Linked DNA regions of Oryctolagus cuniculus. The protein of the gene in region 2 purifies or fractionates together with the protein of the main gene of each other region. This does not show direct contact. Links are inferred from orthologs where the notes say so. Each region holds a gene or a part of one and is shown on either strand. Other genes may lie near its edges. The genes, in order: FKBP5 and TSSK6.

Evidence for each region.
Region 1: the proteins of TSSK6 (region 2) and FKBP5 purify together in Homo sapiens (affinity purification with mass spectrometry; 4 studies listed by BioGRID and IntAct, with this or other methods). This does not show direct contact. The link is inferred for Oryctolagus cuniculus from reciprocal best matches to the Homo sapiens genes TSSK6 and FKBP5.

What each region holds. Positions count from the first base shown.
Region 1 is NC_091436.1:133,852,524-133,856,327, reverse strand, and holds part of FKBP5 (peptidyl-prolyl cis-trans isomerase FKBP5), read right to left. Parts: exon of another isoform or gene 3,014-3,804; intron 1,580-3,013; coding exon 1,437-1,579; intron 531-1,436; coding exon 416-530; intron 1-415. UniProt on the Homo sapiens protein: Immunophilin protein with PPIase and co-chaperone activities. Component of unligated steroid receptors heterocomplexes through interaction with heat-shock protein 90 (HSP90).
Region 2 is NC_091447.1:66,227,257-66,231,630, forward strand, and holds the start of TSSK6 (testis-specific serine/threonine-protein kinase 6), read right to left. Parts: upstream 2,822-4,374; 5' UTR 2,656-2,821; coding exon 1,834-2,655; 3' UTR 1-1,833. Other genes in the region: YJEFN3 (yjeF N-terminal domain-containing protein 3), read left to right, coding at 3,351-3,490. UniProt on the Homo sapiens protein: Serine/threonine-protein kinase component of the sperm flagellar doublet microtubules. May act as a regulator of sperm motility by mediating phosphorylation of sperm doublet microtubule proteins.

The DNA.
Region 1 (3,804 bases), on a different chromosome or scaffold from region 2:
TTTTTAGATTTATTTATTTATTTGAAAGTCAGAGTTACAGAGAGACAGGGGCAGGGAGAGAGAGAGAGAGAGATATCTTCCATTCTCTGGCTCACTCCCCAAATGGATGCAATGGCTGGGGCTGGGCCAGGCCAAAGCAGGAGTTTCATCTAGGTCTCCTATTTGGGTGGCAGGGGCTTAAGCACTTGGTCCAGGCCATTAGCAGGGAGCTGGATCAGAAGTGGAGCAGCAAGGGCAGGAACCAGCACCCATATGAGACGCCAGTATTGTAAGTGGCAGCTTTACCTGCTATGCCACCATGCTAGCCCTATTCAATATGTTTATTTCAGAATGTTGAATTTTAAAAAAAGTTCTGCTTCATCCATGTATATGGAACCTAACTTTTAAGGTTTAGTTCTCTCACAGCAATACTTACTTTCCACTGTTGCTCCTTCGTTTGGGTTTGAATATCCCTCTCCCTTTCGTTTGATTCTGCGAATGATACCTGCATCTTCAAATAAATCCTCTCCTTTGAAATCAAGGAGCTCAATCTAGAAAGGAAAAAAAAAAGGGATCTGGTTGAGCAAAGACCAAACGAAGTCCATTTAGTCTTTTGCTTTACAAAATAAAACTCTGCTTTTACAAAAATGTACTTATCCCTGCATCTTAGAGTTATTGGAAAAGTAGGAGGAAAAGGACACTGCTCTTTTTACAAATGCGTAGATGGAACTTCATGTAATGATAATGTTTAGCACTACTCCTGAGAGGCTGCAGTGCAGAGACAGACAGGAAATACTAGGAACACTGCCTTGTGGGCAAAAGGCCAGAACTACAAGGACTGGCGCAGAACTATTTTGTTTGACTTTGAGGCCACCACTTTCCCACCCAATTTATGAAGTTGCCTTAGTAAAATTGAGCAACAAATCCCATGTGTCTGGCTGACAACTGATTGAAGGTGTATTTTATCTAGTTAGGGTAGCTTTTTAAATTAGGTTTTGCTAAATATGTGCAATTCAACACAAGATGAATAAAAACTCCACCTACTGCTTCTATTGAAGGGGTAAGATCTGTGACATTTATAAACCTTGATAGCATGAAAATACCTACCAACTCAGGATAGGCATATTTCCACACTTGTCTCCAGCATTTCCACCCTATCTTCAGGTCACCTTTGAGCATGCTGTACTCACACCACTAACCACAGCCTTTATTTCTAAGTCAAATGTCTTTTGTTTATTTGGATATGACCTTTCTGTGCCAGAGATACGTTTCTAAGAAAGCACTGGCACACACCCCTTCAGTTTGTGGGAAACAATTCAAGAAGCTGGGCTCCAAAATAAATAAGTTGGATTTGATTCTCCTCTCCAAACTTCACTCCTTGTTCCACTGCCTGTTGCTACAAAGAGAGCCCTATAGCACAGCAGATGCTGACAAGGCAACCTCACACACATACTTGCCTCAAAAAAGAGCGTTGCATTGGAGGGAATTTTGGGGAGACTGCCAGCAGAGCCATATGCATATTCTGGCTTGCACAGCAAGTGGCAGATCTCTCCTTTCTTCATGGTGGCCACCCCAATGTCCCATGCCTTGATAACTTGACCTGAGAAAGGAAAATGCAATTAAAATCTATCAGCCATATTTTAAAAGATTTAACTTTCATAAAACAAGAGTTCAGAAAAATTTCCAATTCTTTATGTACTCAGCTAACAAACATGAGCTAAAAGATGACAAAACTCAGCAGAAACTACACACAAAGAAATAAATTACGATTTTTTTTGGAAGGCTATCAGAGAAGATTCTCTGCTGAGTAGGATAAATGTAGCATCAATTCCTAAATTAAGATCAAGTTTTTCAAAAGTAGCAGTAACATAATCCACAAAATGTGGCTGTGTTGCAATTGTGGTTTAATTTATCATTTCAGCCTTAATACTAAATGCATGTTTTCTAGGCAAAGATGGGACAAAAATAGTATAGAAACTGGAGTTTGTTCTAAAGAAGCTGTAATTTAGTTTGGTAGACAAAAATAAGACCTTTCTGTGAAGTATACATTGTATAAAAGGAAAGTATAAATTGTATAAAAGGGTCCATGAAACAAATTTAATCTTAACATTTAGAATCAGAAAAATGTTTCTTCAAACAAATGCCTTTGTCCTTTTACCAAATCACAGTGATAGAACTCAGAATATTTAATTTTTTCCAGTTCCAGGTAACTAAAAAAGTCACATTTATTGCTTAACTGTAGAACTGTTTTTGGCTATGTAATCACAATGCCAATATTCACAGCTTTTATCATGTCCAGCATTATTCACTTTATCCTACTGCACAGTCTCTAATCCTCTAGAAAACCACAGAAAAGGGAGGCCTTTAAAACTTGAGGGGCTAAGTTAACCAAAATCTTAGGTATTCAAAGTGGGGTCAAATCAGCACCAAAGCCCTGAGGAAGTCCTTTTTTTTTTTTTTTTTTTTTTTTTTTTAAGATTTACCTAGTTATATTTGAAAAGCAGAGTTACAGAGAGAGAAAGAGAGAGAGAAATCTTCCCATTCATTGGTTCACTCCCCAAATGGCCACAATAGAAAGCTGGGCTGATCTGAAGCCAGGAACCTGGAGCTTCTTCCATGTCTCCCACATGGGTGCAGGGGCCCAAGGACTTGGATCACCTTCTACTCCTTTCCCAGACCATAGCAGAGAGCTGGATCGGAAGTGAAGCAGCCGGCACTCAAACCAGTGCCCACATGGGATTCCAGCACTGCAAGTGACGGCCTCACCTGCCAAGCCACAGTGCCGGCCCCCAAGGGAGTCAATTTTGAAGTGAGCTGTTTGCTCCCTTGGGCTGAGAGAGAGCTGACAGTCGGAGGTGTTTTACTAGGGGTAGAGCAAGCATTTGTTACTCAAGACTTCAGCTTAGTCTTTGTTAAATACTATAACTTTTAAAACTATCAGCTCCATTTATTTGAGTGAAAAATCTATGTAAATGCATGCCTCTACATGTCTATTATTAAAAGACACAGGGAAGATGCAAAGCAAAAAGTGGAAGGTCATTTGCGCCCTCCTTGTAGGAAGCCACTGTCATGCTTCTCTTTCATCTTCCTAGTGTGTGCGGTCACTTCTTTAAAAATGCAAAGCATGGAACCGGCGCTGTGGCAGCAGGTAAAGCTGCAGCCTGCAGTGCCGGCATCCCATATGGGCGCCAGTTCTAGTCCCGGCTGCTCCACTTCCAATCCAGCTCTCTGCTGTGGCCTGGGAAAGCAGTGGAAAATGGCACAATTCCCTGGACCCCTACACCAGCATGGGAGACCCAGGGGAAACTCCTGGCTTCTGACTTCAGATCAGCATAGCTCCAGCCATTGCGGCCATCTAGGGAGTAAACCAGCGGACAGAAGACTCTCTCTCTCTCTGCCTCTCTGTAACTCTGCCTTTCAAATAAATAAATAAATCTTAAAACAAACAAACAAAAATGAGTGCCAAAGCATATACTACACATGTTAAAAAAATGTAAAACACAAATAACAGCATCTCACATTTTCGAGTTTGAATTGCTTTTTCATTTAATAGGCATCTTGGACTTCTTTCTTCATCAGTAGAAATGAGGCTATGCATTTTAGAAGTTAAAAGTCAGCCTGTTCTAATTCCCAGGTCACCTGGACTTGAGTCTCAGGTCTGTACTTTACTGGCTGAGTGGCCTTGTGCAAGCTATTTAACCCCTGTGTCTCAGTTTCCTCATTTGCAAAATGTAGGTGGTTACCAGTAACCTGCCATAGTTGTGATAAGAATTAGTAAGTAAAATGTCAAATGCATCGTGTAGAACATATATTTAATCAAAAAAG
Region 2 (4,374 bases):
GAGCGGCCGGGTCAGGGATGGCACGCTGTGACGTAAACGAACTGAGCTGGGGGAGCTGCCCGGTCATTGCTTCATTTCCGGCCTTGGCCGTCCTGCACCTGTTACTGGCTTGGGTTCCCCCTCTGCGGGGCGGGGTGACGTTCTCTGAGCCCAAGAAAGAGGCCCCGCGGCGGGGTGTGGGTGAGCGAGCGCTGCTGGGGTCCAGATCCCGTACTCCCCGGAACCTGGGAGCACCCACCCCCCAATCCCATCGTAACCAAAAAACGTCCCAGAACCTGGCCAGCAGGGGCAGGCCCCAGGGGGCATCCCAGGACCATCGCGCACCGCGAAATAAGTTAGACCAGGGCGGGCTGTCTGGGGAAGGTTGTCACCCGCATTCTTTGTGACTGAATCTTCACTATTAACGTTCCCCTCACCAGAGAGGCCGCGTGGGTGGCTGGCGTCCATTGTATGCTGAGCTTCGGACTCTAAAGGACAATAAAGGGAGGGACACGGTGTGACTGCTCCTCTCCCCCCCTCTCTCTCCGCCCCCAGCCCCGGGCTGCAGGAGGCACCTGCTGCACTGTGGGCTCCCGCAGTCCCTGCTGACCGCTTGTCCTCGGTGTTAAGGATGTGCCGGGCTTGGCCTCTGGGGCTCTCGAAGCCCAGGCTAAGGCAGAAGTTAAACCCCAAGGCTGTCCCGCTGCACCTGCCGGGCTCACCGGCTTCTCCTTGTCCCTTCTGACCCGGGCCCCTGGCTACCGAGCTCTGCACTCCCATCCATCAGCCAGCGCCGGTGGGCAGAGGGCCCCAGCCACACAGCTGGGCGTGGAGCGGGGACAGATGGGTGAAGAGGCCCCGAGGTGGGGACGGACAGACTCCAGGCCCGCAGGGTGGGGGGTGAGGACGCGGTTTAATTCGGAGCCTTCACGTCCCCTCCCAACACCCGCCCTCCCTGTGAGGGAAGTCCAGCCAGGACCAGGGCCACAGCCGTTAGCAGAGGGGAGAGCGGGGGGCGCTCGGTCCCCGGGGCTGCAGAGTGAGCAGGGCTGGGCACGGTTGGGACCGCACACAGGTGGGTTTAGGGAAAGGGGCAGTCAGCGGCTGCGAACCCACCCTGTGGGGTCCCTCTGGGTAGACCCCCGCCCCCGCCTGGCATCGCTACAGCTCGAAGCTACTTGACCTCCACGTCTTTGACCTTCCACTGGCCTCGCGGACAAGGGCAGGGTCCAGGCCTGGTCACACAGCAGGTGTTCAAGGAGCCGGCCCCTTACTCCCCCCGGGGGACCTCGGGGTCAGGGGGCCCTCGCCGAGCAGGGCTTGCTCGCCCCCGGCCCCCGGCCGGGAGCCGGACACGCGTTTCTCTCCAAACGGGGCCAGCCTCCCCTTTCCCCGCTGCGCTCCGTGAAACAGGTGCGAGGTAGAGCGAAGTTTATTGCGGGTCTCGACGGGAAACCGGGCATCCGCGGCCGCCTGGGGAGCGACGCCGTCGGCGCGCGGCCGCCCCCCCAGCAGCTCCTCCCGGACGCCGCGGGCCGGGGAGCCGTCGCTCGTTCCGCGCAGGCGCAGGCGCAGGCCGTCCATCTCGTTCTCGCCCCGCCCCTCCCGGGGCCTGGGGGCGGGGAATCGAAGGCGCGCGTGCGCTCTCCAGCTCTCGGCGTGGTGGAGGAGGGGGAGGAGCTAGCCTCGGAGGCGGGGCAGCTGCGGCCTCCGCCGTGGGAGGGGGGGACCGGGGCAGGGCGCGTGCGCCGTGGCGCGCGGCGGCGCGGCAGGAACCCGGAAGTGCGGCGGCGTCCCTTGCGCGTGCGCCGTGCCGGCCGCGACCCGGGAGGCGGGCAGGGCGGGCCCCCTGCCCTAGCCGGAGTCCCCCGACCGCAGCCAGCCGTTGCGCGCCACCTGGCCGGCCGAGGGCCTGGCCGAGGGGCTGAACTGCAGCAGCTCGGCGATGAGGGCCTTGCAGCGCTCGGACAGCTCGAGCCCGTCGGGGTACAGCACGCCGCGCTTCTGGCGCCGGGGCAGGCCGGCGATGTCCGAGTCGTCGAAGGGCATGCAGCCCGTGACCATGACGTAGAGCACCACGCCCAGGCTCCACACGTCGTACTTCTTGGGGTCGTAGGGGATGCCCAGCAGCACCTCGGGGGACGCGTAGGCGGCCGAGCCGCAGTAGGTGGTGCTGAGGTCCGGGTAGCCGTGCGCCTGGCGGCCGAAGCCGAAGTCCGTGAGCTTGACCCGGCGCTCGTCCGGGCTCAGCAGCACGTTCTCGCACTTGAGGTCGCGGTGCACCAGGTGGTGGTCGTGCAGGTAGCGCACGGCGCCCGCGATCTGCGCGAAGAGGTCGCGCGCCTGCGAGCCGGGGATGCGCCCGTTGCGCTGCACGGCCTGCAGCAGGTCGGTGGCGGCCGCCTCCATCACGATGTACAGCTTCCCGTTGCACACCTCGATGAACTCGAAGACGTGCACGATGTGCGGGTGCCGCACGCCCCGCAGGATGGACAGCTCGCGCGGCAGGAACTTGTTGACGAAGTCCGGCGGCGCTCGCCGGCGGTCCACCACCTTGATGGCCACCGTGCCCTTGTACTTCTTGGACGTGGCCACCTTCACCTTGGAGTAGCTGCCCTCTCCTATGGTGCGGCCCAGCTTATAGCCGAGTTCGCTCAGGAGTTTGTCGCCCGACATGGTGGCGCGCGGGGCGCGCGGGGAGCAGCGGGGGGCGGCCGGACTCCAATCTCGGGCCTAACCCATGGCGCTTGGCACCCGCACCCCCGCACCCCCATGTGCCCACTCCCGCGTCCCCGCCGCCGCGGGGGCCTTACATCGCCCCGGTAACAATTTCAGCCTTGTGAAGTGACCGCGGGCGTCACTCCGCCTCTCGGGGCGGGGACCGCACACACACCCCCGCCCCGCGGGGCTCCCCTGGCCCCGCACAGCCCCTCACGTGCGGCCTTGTGACTCACAATCGCCCTGCACGGCCGGCCGGTTCGGCAGAGAGGACGCCCGCCCCCCACCACCACCGGGGGGCACAGCCCCTCCCCGGACTGCCGGTGCCTCCCCGTGCGTCCGAAGCGGAGCAGCGAGCCGCCCCCGACTTCGCGTACCCCCAGCCTGTGGAGCCCTGGGCCCCGAGAGGGGGTCCAGCAGCCCGGGGCCCCGACGCCCCCCGGGGGTTCGGGGTGTCTGATTCTCCGGTGCATCGCGAGGGGCTAGCGGGCAAGGAGCCTCAGCCCCTAGGGGTCGTCTGCGTCACACCCCGTCGGCGGGAAGCTGAAATTAGGCTTCCCCGGCCGCGCCCCCCGCACCCCCCAGCCCGCCCGCGAAGTCTGGCAGCTCCACCGGCGGCGCTTCCGCCACACTCGTCATGGCGGCGCGGCCCGATGGCGTCACTTCCGCCGGCGACCGGAAGTGCGGCGTCCAGCGAGCATGGCGGCGTCGAAGGTGAAGCAGGACATGCCCCCGCCGGGGGGCTACGGCCCCATCGACTACAAGCGGAACCTGCAGCGTCGGGGACTGTCGGGTCAGTGCCGCCGTGGGCCGGGGTGGCGGGGGCGCCTCCCGGGCAGGTTCACCTAGCGCGGGGCCCAGGCTGCTGCTCGGCTCCGGGCTTGCTTCGCCCACGGCCGCGGGCGTCGGCCCATTGTGCCGCGGGTGACACTGAGGTGGGCGTAGCAGGCGGGGGTCGCGGAGACCCGGGCGAGGGCGGCAGCTCCCCGCGCGACCCCCCAGGCCTGGGCTGGGGCCGAAACGCAGAGCCCAGAGGGAGTCTGTGAAATGGCCCTGTGCGGGGCTTCCCCCACCCACCCGCGCGCAGGGCGACCGGGAATCCGAATTCGAAAGACAGACAGACAGATGGCCGCAGCCGCCGGAGCTGCGCCGATCCGAAGGCATGAGCCAGGCGCTTCTCCTGGTCTCCCATGGGGTGCAGGGCCCAAGCACTTGGGCCATCCTCCACTGCACTCCCTGGCCACAGCAGAGAGCTGCGCCCATGTGGGATGCCGGCGCCGCAGGCGGAGGATTAGCCAAGTGAGCCACGGCACTGGCCCTGTTTATTTTTAAATTAATTTTTAAAATGTATTTGAGGGGGCCTGTGTTGTTTTGCAGTGGGTTAAGCCGCTTGCTCCGCTTGCTTTGATGTGCCAGCATCCCGTTTGGGCGCCAGTTCGAGTCCCGGCTGCTCCACTTCCCATCCAGCTCTCTGCTGTGGCCTGGGAAAGCAGTGGAGGATGGCCCAAGTCCCTGGGCCCCTGCACCTGTGTGGGAGACCCGGATGGAGCTCCTGGCTTCGGATCAGCCCAGCTCCAGCCATTGCAGCTCAGATCCGGCCATTGCGGCCATCTGGGGAGTGAACCAGCGGATGGAAGACCTTTATTTGTCTGAAAGGCAGAGCTACTCCCCGAGCGG